3 linked regions of the Mus musculus genome follow. The protein of the gene in region 2 purifies or fractionates together with the protein of the main gene of each other region. This does not show direct contact. Links are inferred from orthologs where the notes say so. Each region holds a gene or a part of one and is shown on either strand. Other genes may lie near its edges.

Region 1 (2,341 bases), on a different chromosome or scaffold from region 2:
TATCAGATCGTTCAACATTAAATTTTCGTCATTTGCAATTCAAAATAGTTACCTGAAGTTTGCGGTTTTGAGTGTATTTACTTTTATTGTACATTTGTTTTCTAAACTCTTTGGCACAGTTTTCTGGGGGCATTCCGACTGCCACAATACAAGTCAGGAGAGAGCTTGTTTATGATGCCAATTTCAAGCATTTAAATTTTGGTTTGGGTTGTGGCTTTTTCTGTCTTTGAAGTCTGCATTTTCTTTGTAACAACTGTACTTTTATTTTCTATATCCTCTAACTCCAGAGTTCTCCTTTCTCCCCCCTCCCCCCATAGCTACATTCACAGCTGAACCATAGTACAGGAAAGGCGCCTTGATGAAAAGATCAGGACAGGAGCGCTGACCATTCGTCAGTGTTTTCCCTAGAGTAATTAAAATGAAACCAAACCAAACCTAAACAGCGTCTTTCCTCATTTAAAAAAAAAACACGTCTCTTGTGCTGCATCAGTAGCCAGAACTTCAGTTAGTTTATGAAATGCAACATCAAACCCCTTTGTTTTCTGGGAAAAAGAAACTGCAATGACTTGAAGTTGAGAATGTGGGTACCGCCTCACTCACACACACTCATTCTCAGACTGTGAAATCCCCCACGCGCCTTCTCAAGGGCACATAGACAGTACCAAGTGCAACGGTACAGTGAAGGTGGGCTCAAGACCCGGGCTCCATCTTTCTCCTCAGTAGCAGGGGCCAGGCTGCCTTTCACAACACAGCCCCACAGGTGAACCCAGGTCCTCCTCTCCCAAATCAGTCACCCATTCGGCACCGGCCAAGACAGGAAAGCTAGTTCTAGCCTTCCCTGGGAAGAGACAGCTTTTTTGTTTTTAATAAGTAAGTAAATCCATTGTTTCTCTGTTCCAAGATGGCTGATGTTATGTTTTCTACAAACTCAGTGCTTACTTAGCTCATGTCTAACAGCGCTGCTGCTGTTGGCTGTGGCAGGATTTTCAGTGTGGTGTTTTCAAGCCTCACTCACTCATCCTCTCATTCCCAAGCATTCAGCATCCGTGCACACTCCTCACTTCCGGGTTTTTCAAAAGATTGGAGATTTCCAGTGGGGGTCTCAGGTCATCATCCCAGTGGTACCAGATCTAAAAACAAAAGGACGAAGAGGTCAACTCTGAGGTCATATGTATCCCCAACTCCTACAACCAAGTAGCCCAAAGCTAAAAATGGGACCCATCAAGTCTTAAAGATTGATTATTTTTCTTCTCTTCCTTTGTTCTGTATACCTGCTGCCATATATAAGCATATATTGTAGTGCAGTGGTAAATGTGCTTACTTCAATTTGTGATGTCCTGAGTTCAATTTCCAGAAACCAAGCAAATAAATGGTCATGCAAGGCCATACATACACGGAGGTGCACGCCTTTAAACCCAGCACTCAGGAGGGAGAGACAAAGGCAGGTGTCTGACTTTGAGGCCAGTCTAATCTACAAAGCAGTATCTAGGCTAGCAGACTACAAAAAGACCCTCCACTCTGCACAAATAAAAAAGGACATGGAGGAGTAGAAAGAGAACAAATATGGGAACATTTTATTAGGTTCCAAAGTATTTTCAGTGTCTTGGTCAGTGAGTTGTGTTGTCGTTCAACACAAGGACTCAAATATATGGCTTAGAAATATTTGTCTGGCTGTGTCTGGCTGCCTGCTCAAACACAGGTACCAAAAAGTGTGTAGCCAAAATACCAGTAGGCAGCGAATATTAGAAATCCTATAGAACATAAACCCTCCTGAGACCTGAGAGTGCAGACAAGAGCTTACCAAGCCTGGTTCTTCAGTTTCCTCAGTTCCTTGGTTGCCCACGTAGCGAGGGTCTTTGCTTTGTTAGTCTTCGATCTCCGCCCTTCAGTTAATAGTTCATGGATCATTGGCCTAGCTTCTACTAACTTCAGTACATCCTTCCCGAAGGCTGTACACAAGTCCCTGTGCAAAACAAACACCCACGAATGACTGAGTGAGGCAACTCTATGTTTCTTAGCATCCATTCGCTTCTTAAAAATTGTTTGTAAGAGATTTCTGGAATCAATTGGGCAAATCAGTTCAAGATTTGCCCAAGGCTGTAGCTCACTGAGTGTGATGGTACAACCCTGTAATGTCAGAAATCAAGGAAGAAGCTGACAAGGATCATGAATTCAATGTCAACACGGGCCACATAGCAAGACCTTCTCAAAAAAAGGGAAATTGCACTAGGCCTTTGAGCTGTAAAGCTATGTCCCAGTATAGCCTCAGGGTCTCAGAAGAGCTATATGGTAGCCCCGGCTCAGTGGGTAAAGCTGCCTGCTGTTAAATCCCCAGGACCCA
Region 2 (2,644 bases):
TGTCCCACCATCTCCTCCTCCCTCTGAGGAGCCATAGGTCAGTGCTGTTCTCATAGACACCACCTACCTCAAATGTATGCAAGGAGGAACAGGGTAAAATTTGGTTCTACTACCAGGAGCTAGAAGCTGCATTCCAACAGTCTCTCCTGGAAAACCCTGATTGCCTTAACCAACCCATCTCAGATGATTAGCTCAGATGTTAATTAGATGTTAACTAGCTCACCATGATTAGCTCAGAGTTAGCTTGCAACAGAATTTGGTCTCAACCCTCTAGTCAATCACATTGTATATGTGTGTGCAGACCAGAGGTCAGTCTGAGCTATCACTCCTCAGAGTAATCTAGGTTAACAAGCCAACCAGAAAACAAACCCCAGCTGGTTTGTCCCGACTGTATCCTCTTCCCACAACCCCTGCTAGGGTTACAGGCCCCGGCCACCATTCCTGGCCTTGCATCCTGGGGAGTGAACTCAGGTTTTCAGGGCAAGCACTTTACACAAGCCAGGGGTGGATATGTTCCCACTGCTTTTGGTTGGGAACTTGTACTTCAGGAAAGGAGAGGTACAGACCTGTTTTCTTCTTACACCGTAGGCTTGGATAAAATTGAGTTTCTCCAGAGCCACGAGAACCAGGAAATCTACCAGAAGGCCTTTGACCTCATTGAGCACTACTTTGGTGTAGAGGATGACGACAGCAGCCTGGCTCCTCAGGTGGATGAGACGCAACAGCAGTTCATCTTCCAGCAGCCTGAGGCCCCCATGGAGGGCTTCCAGCTATAATGTCTGCCTCCGGGGAGGGGAGGGCACGGGAAGCACCAGCAGCCAGCAGAGAGAGGAGCAGCCTTCTGGTGGGCAGGAGAGCAGCCACCCCACCAGCAGCCCCGCACACCTGCTGCCCCGAGACTGTGCTCTCGACCTGTTCATCCCCTTCCCTGGAGGGAGCAAGCGCCCTCTGGACAGACAGAACCATCTGAGGCTCACATTGGGTTTTGAGACAAGAAGGGGACGTGTGGGTTTCTCTTCCTTACACTATTTTGGCTGCACATGTCTTTAACCCAGGAGCCCAGGGGTAGACAAAGGAGGACTGAGGTAATCAATTTGCACCTTTAAAATTTTTTTCTTTTATTTTCTTTAGTGGTGACTTCCTTCCCAATTATCTTTCTTCATCCATCCCAGTCCTCTGCCCTGACGTGTGTAACTCTTGGGTACTTGAGCAGATGGAATATTCCAGAGGTGGGAGGTGGGAGGGGAGGGGAGAAGTCCCAAACAAAGTGTTCTTGCTCTGACCCATATTAATCTTGTATGCTTGGATTATTTAATTTTTTCTTTTGCACATTTTTCTTGTATTAAGGTTGTTCTTCCCAAAAAGCTGGATTTAGTAACCCAGCCACCAGCATCGTCTGGAAATAGAGGCTAATGGGGAGGCCCCCATGAGACAAAGATCCCTCCCTCCCTCTAACCCTATGCCTAAGACCTCTTTAGTTTGGGAGGATCCCCCTCACTCTCCTGGAGCAAGTATACCAGTGGAGTGGAAGGGAGGGGCACAGGCCTTTAGACAGGGCTTCTCCTGTGTAGCTACTGACCCTGTTTCCTACCCACCTCCTAAATGGTGCGACCCAACTTCATTTGTTTACTTGAAAATTCACCTCAGAGTTGAATGAACCTCTGAGGTGGCTGTGTTTTCTCCTGAGCTTGAGATGGGGGGCTGTGGTCCTTCCTTCTCCTGAGGAGAAAGTCCTTGCTCTGATGACCCCTAAGTTGCAGAGGAGGTTGGAGTTAGTGTCGTGTATCGGGATAGTCATGAATCCCTGCCTTTGGCCTTTCTTCTTCCTTCTGCCATAGCTGGATCATGTATATTTCACTTCCAAAGGAGAGAATGGCAAAAAGTTCTGTTGTTTTTTTAATAGTCTGTATTTTAAGTAGGTCAGTCTTAATTGGTTTTAGGAGGACAAACTGGATGTGAGTGGGATACTGTGAGGAAGACCAGAAAGACGAACAAGTTTCTGCTCACAGGGCTGAACTCAGTCCTTATTTTCTCTGCTTGTATTCTGGGCCACCACTTGGGACCAACTCTCACTTCTGGAACCTTTATGAAGTAAATCAGCTGGGTCTGATTGTTCCCAGCCTGAAGGGAGCAAGGCCTGATGGAGTCTGCTGCTCTCTCTGTTCCTTGCTCCCAAGCAAAAAGCATCCTGCCTTCTCTAACTCACTGTTACCCACAATGAACCCTGTTGGCATCTCCCTTCTAAAGATCCTTGTACCTAGCTTGCATTTCCCTTTCTCCCTCTTTCCCCCTCCCACCTCTCTCCCCCCTCCTCCTCTCTTCCCTCCCTCTCTCTCCCCCTCCCTCTCTCCCTCCCTCCTTCTTGAATAAAGACAGTTCAGTACCTCAGAGGCTGACCTGTTTTCAGGGGTTACACAGTACACTAAAACCAAGCTCTGGGAGCTGGGTACAGTGTCAGCTGGGCAGACCACCTGTGGAGGTGGCAGCACAGTGCCCTGCTGTGGTGATCCCCCACACCCTTAGCCGCTCTCTAGAACAGCACTGTTCCTCCTGTTCCAGCAGATCTCTCTGTGCCCCACATTTGCAGATCTGAAGTTGAGGTTCTTGCTGCTGGCCTCTGCCTTTCCGTCTGCCGTCTCTCCTT
Region 3 (3,500 bases), on a different chromosome or scaffold from region 2:
TTACTTACATCAGTTCAAAGCTATTGGGAGTGGTGCCAATAAAATAGCCGCCAGGGTTAAGCCTCCCGCAGGCATTTCTAAGCATCGTATCCGCCTGCACCTGGGACTCAAAGGAGTAATGGCAAGCAAACTGGCAGCTGCAGACATCAAAGTACATTTCTGGGTCACGGAATTTTTCAACCAAAAGTTCCTGTAACAAATGTAAATGGGTTAGTATTTTAAACTAATTACAACATAGATTAAAAGTTTTTAGTAAGTTACTAGAATTTAGGGCTCTTAAAGTAGCTGTTCCCTGACAGGTAATCAATAGTTCTCGCCAATCTTTGATTTATTCTTTGTCATGTATATATTATAGCAAGGACCACTTCATAAAAGCATTCTTTCTTACCCTGACCTAAACATCTACAGGTCTGGGTAGATAGCGCAAGTGAAAGTGAGAGGCAGACGCAGTGTGCAGAGCTCCCTGGCCAGCCTCAAGAAACCCTGTCCCAGGGAAGAGGAACAATACCCAATATTCACCAATACCCACCCATCTACTCAGCACAAACATAAAATAATCAAGATTTTGATTTTCATGGTGACCTTTAAAAAGTGGGGAATTCTGAAATCATGCTAAAATATGTCAGGCCAGAGAGATGACTCAGTAGGTAAAGTGTTAGGTCCTGCAAGCCTGCAAGCCTGAGTTTGTGGCCTTGGGAGACATGTAACTCAGGGCACAGCAGGATGTGTCAGGAGCCTGACCATTCTTATGGTGAGACGAGGTGGACACAGGGGAATCCTCTCAAAACTCACAAACCTGAGGTCTAAAGGACAGGAACAAACAAGAAAGGTTTTCCCTTCAAACAAAGTGGAAGGTGAAAACGAAGCTGGAGACCCCTGACTTGCCATGGAAGCTGTGTCACGGATGTACCACCCCCAAACACACTATACGCACGTTAAATAAATAAATAAAAATGTTGCCTAACATTTCAGTTGGTCTTGAGAGCTAAAATAAACTGACATTCAACAGTCACTTGGGTCATTCAACCCTTGGCATCCAAAAGAACCAGTACTTAAGTTTTCACCTGTTAAGCAGCACACACATTTCTCACCCCCGTTTTCAAGGCTGCAAGCAATATATGACTGACTAGACAGGTACTATTTAAAAGCTCTTAAATACTTAAAGAAGATTACTGCAGTTGAGAATCTCAGAGGAACAATGGAAGGTGAAAAGCACACAGTGGTTCTGATCTGACAGGAAGCCGTCCTTATAAACTACAAGGTGAACAAACATGCATTTAAGTCCAGGTCTATTGTGAAATAAAGCAGCCATTCATATCCTCAGGCTCTGGGACAGGGAAGTCAACCAATGATGGATTCAAGATAAGAGGAAAATGTATTGTTTAAATGAATATGTAGACAATTTTGACACTTATTTCCTAAACAGTGTGACGACTAGTTACACAGCATCTTCACTATATTCAGTACCATACTAAAATCATCTAAACAGGCTTTTAAAGTACATATAACTATGTGTATAGTTACCCACAAATATATGCCATTTTATATAAGGGACTTTGAACTTCTGTAGACTCTGGGACTTTAGGGATACCAAGGGATTTATGAATCTTTAAATAGTACCTGTCTAGTTAGTCATATATTGCTTGCAGCCTTGAAAACGAGGATGAAAACAAATCTTGCCCAAATCAAAAAGCAAAAGAGACTTCAAGATACCCATTTATTAAAAGTAAAACTTGTCTAAAAGTATCCAAGGATTTATTATAACAGAATTTGTAATAAATTGAAAATGCATGCCCTAGGATTTTTAATGTTTGTTTCAAATCACAATTTAACAAATGGATCAGTCTTAAAAATGGGAGCTGCAGCAGGTGTGAGAGCCTGCACTTGATCCTGGCACTGTAAAAAGAAAGCATGAGGCTGGAGGGATGGCTTGCTGCTCGTTGTAGAGGACACAGGTTGGATTCCTAGAACCCACTTGGCAGCTTAAAACTGTCCTTAGTTCCAGTTCCAATTCCGATACCCTCATCCGGCCTCCATCGCTACCAGGCATGCATGTGGTGCACACTAACACAAATGCAGGCAAACACTGATATACATAAACATAAACATAAAAATTAAAACTAAAAATCTGTACCTTTGAACAGTCAGCAGTTATAAATTCTGCACTAAAAATATGCTCATTATCGCGACGACATCTCATGTCTTCGTAACGCTGTTGACATTGTTTCATAGAAATATCAGCGATATCTGGCAGGGTAAAAGGAGGAAATGTCAACACGGACTAGCAACTCAGCTGCAACACCGTGGCCTGAGACCCAGGCATAAGATAAGGGAAAGGATGCAGGGGTCTTTCCCTTCCTTTAAATGAAGACCTTGTTTCCTTTTCCTTTGCTCATGTAAATGTTCAACTACATTCCATATAGAATAAGCAGTTTCCCCGTCCCCGTAGAGCTTCCTTGGTAGTACTTATGCAAGCCAAGGCTAAGATGATCAGTTTTATCATCACTATGTGTGTGGAAGTCAAAGGACAGCTTTCAGGAATTGGGTCTTTCCCTCCATCACGGGTTCTGAGAATTTATCAGGCTCACACAGCAAGAGCTTTTACGAACCGAGCCAGGTTTTAAATATTCATTCAAGTATGAGGCAGAAAACTCAGATTCCAACTTGAACTGTAAAAGCTAACAACATCTATCAGCTCATTTTGTGAAATATCAAGTCATTGTTTTCATACTGAAATGCACCTGTTCTCCTTGCTGTGACATTTGCACTTGGGACAGGAAAGCAATGACAGGTAAAGTCATACATGCAGAGCAGTGGCACCAAATGGTACTGTGGAGTGTCCTGAGTTCTTCACTACCATACACCAGCGGGGAAAGCCAGTGTTCACTTAGAACGTCCTCCCTAAAACAGGAGAAGCTCGACCTTGGCTCTGATTCCCATCTCTGAGCATCACCATGGGGATGAGCTGTCTTTTCCTGTCACTAGCAGCACCCAGCACATCTCGGGTTGTGAGCTGACATTGCAGTGTGTTTAAAAAGAGTTACTTGAGCTTCAAAGAATGGCTCTTGAACTCTACCACACATGTATTATTGAAGATGCACAGGGTCATTTCAAGGGACACAATGGATAGTGCTTATTGCCAGAGATAAAATTTGACTTTCAAAAAAAAAAAATCACAATTCTGAGGAAAAAAAAATTTCTATCAACCACCTTTGTGATTGGTGATAATATTACGAAAATGTGATTTCTTGGTGTGAGTCACAAGATAACTTCAGCAAACAGTACTTTCCGGGTATTCTGAAACCATTCTGAAAATATAAGACAGCCCAATGGGTCTGAAAGTAAGGGACTATGCAGTGCTTGCCAGGAGGTCCCACATCTAATCCCCTTACAGATCCCACACCTAATTCCCCTTACAGAATTACTGGCTGCCTGACTTCTCCCCAAAGATGAAGCTACAATTATCTGAGAAAGGCTAACACCACCTTTCATTTACAGCC

What was found. Proteins that work in one complex are often made in the same cells at the same time.
Region 1: the proteins of Kpna6 (region 2) and Kpnb1 purify together in Homo sapiens (affinity purification with mass spectrometry; 4 studies listed by BioGRID and IntAct, with this or other methods). This does not show direct contact. The link is inferred for Mus musculus from reciprocal best matches to the Homo sapiens genes KPNA6 and KPNB1.
Region 3: the proteins of Kpna6 (region 2) and Rnmt purify together in Homo sapiens (co-immunoprecipitation; 3 studies listed by BioGRID and IntAct, counting the BioPlex papers as one, with this or other methods). This does not show direct contact. The link is inferred for Mus musculus from reciprocal best matches to the Homo sapiens genes KPNA6 and RNMT.

Annotation. Positions count from the first base shown.
Region 1 is NC_000077.6:97,161,552-97,163,892, forward strand, and holds part of Kpnb1 (importin subunit beta-1), read right to left. Parts: intron 1,964-2,341; coding exon 1,802-1,963; intron 1,131-1,801; coding exon 1,130-1,130; 3' UTR 1-1,129.
Region 2 is NC_000070.6:129,646,124-129,648,767, reverse strand, and holds part of Kpna6 (importin subunit alpha-7), read left to right. Parts: intron 1-588; coding exon 589-776; 3' UTR 777-2,644. UniProt on the Homo sapiens protein: Functions in nuclear protein import as an adapter protein for nuclear receptor KPNB1. Binds specifically and directly to substrates containing either a simple or bipartite NLS motif.
Region 3 is NC_000084.6:68,310,355-68,313,854, reverse strand, and holds part of Rnmt (mRNA cap guanine-N7 methyltransferase), read right to left. Parts: intron 2,248-3,500; coding exon 2,135-2,247; intron 191-2,134; coding exon 9-190; intron 1-8. UniProt on the Homo sapiens protein: Catalytic subunit of the mRNA-capping methyltransferase RNMT:RAMAC complex that methylates the N7 position of the added guanosine to the 5'-cap structure of mRNAs. Binds RNA containing 5'-terminal GpppC.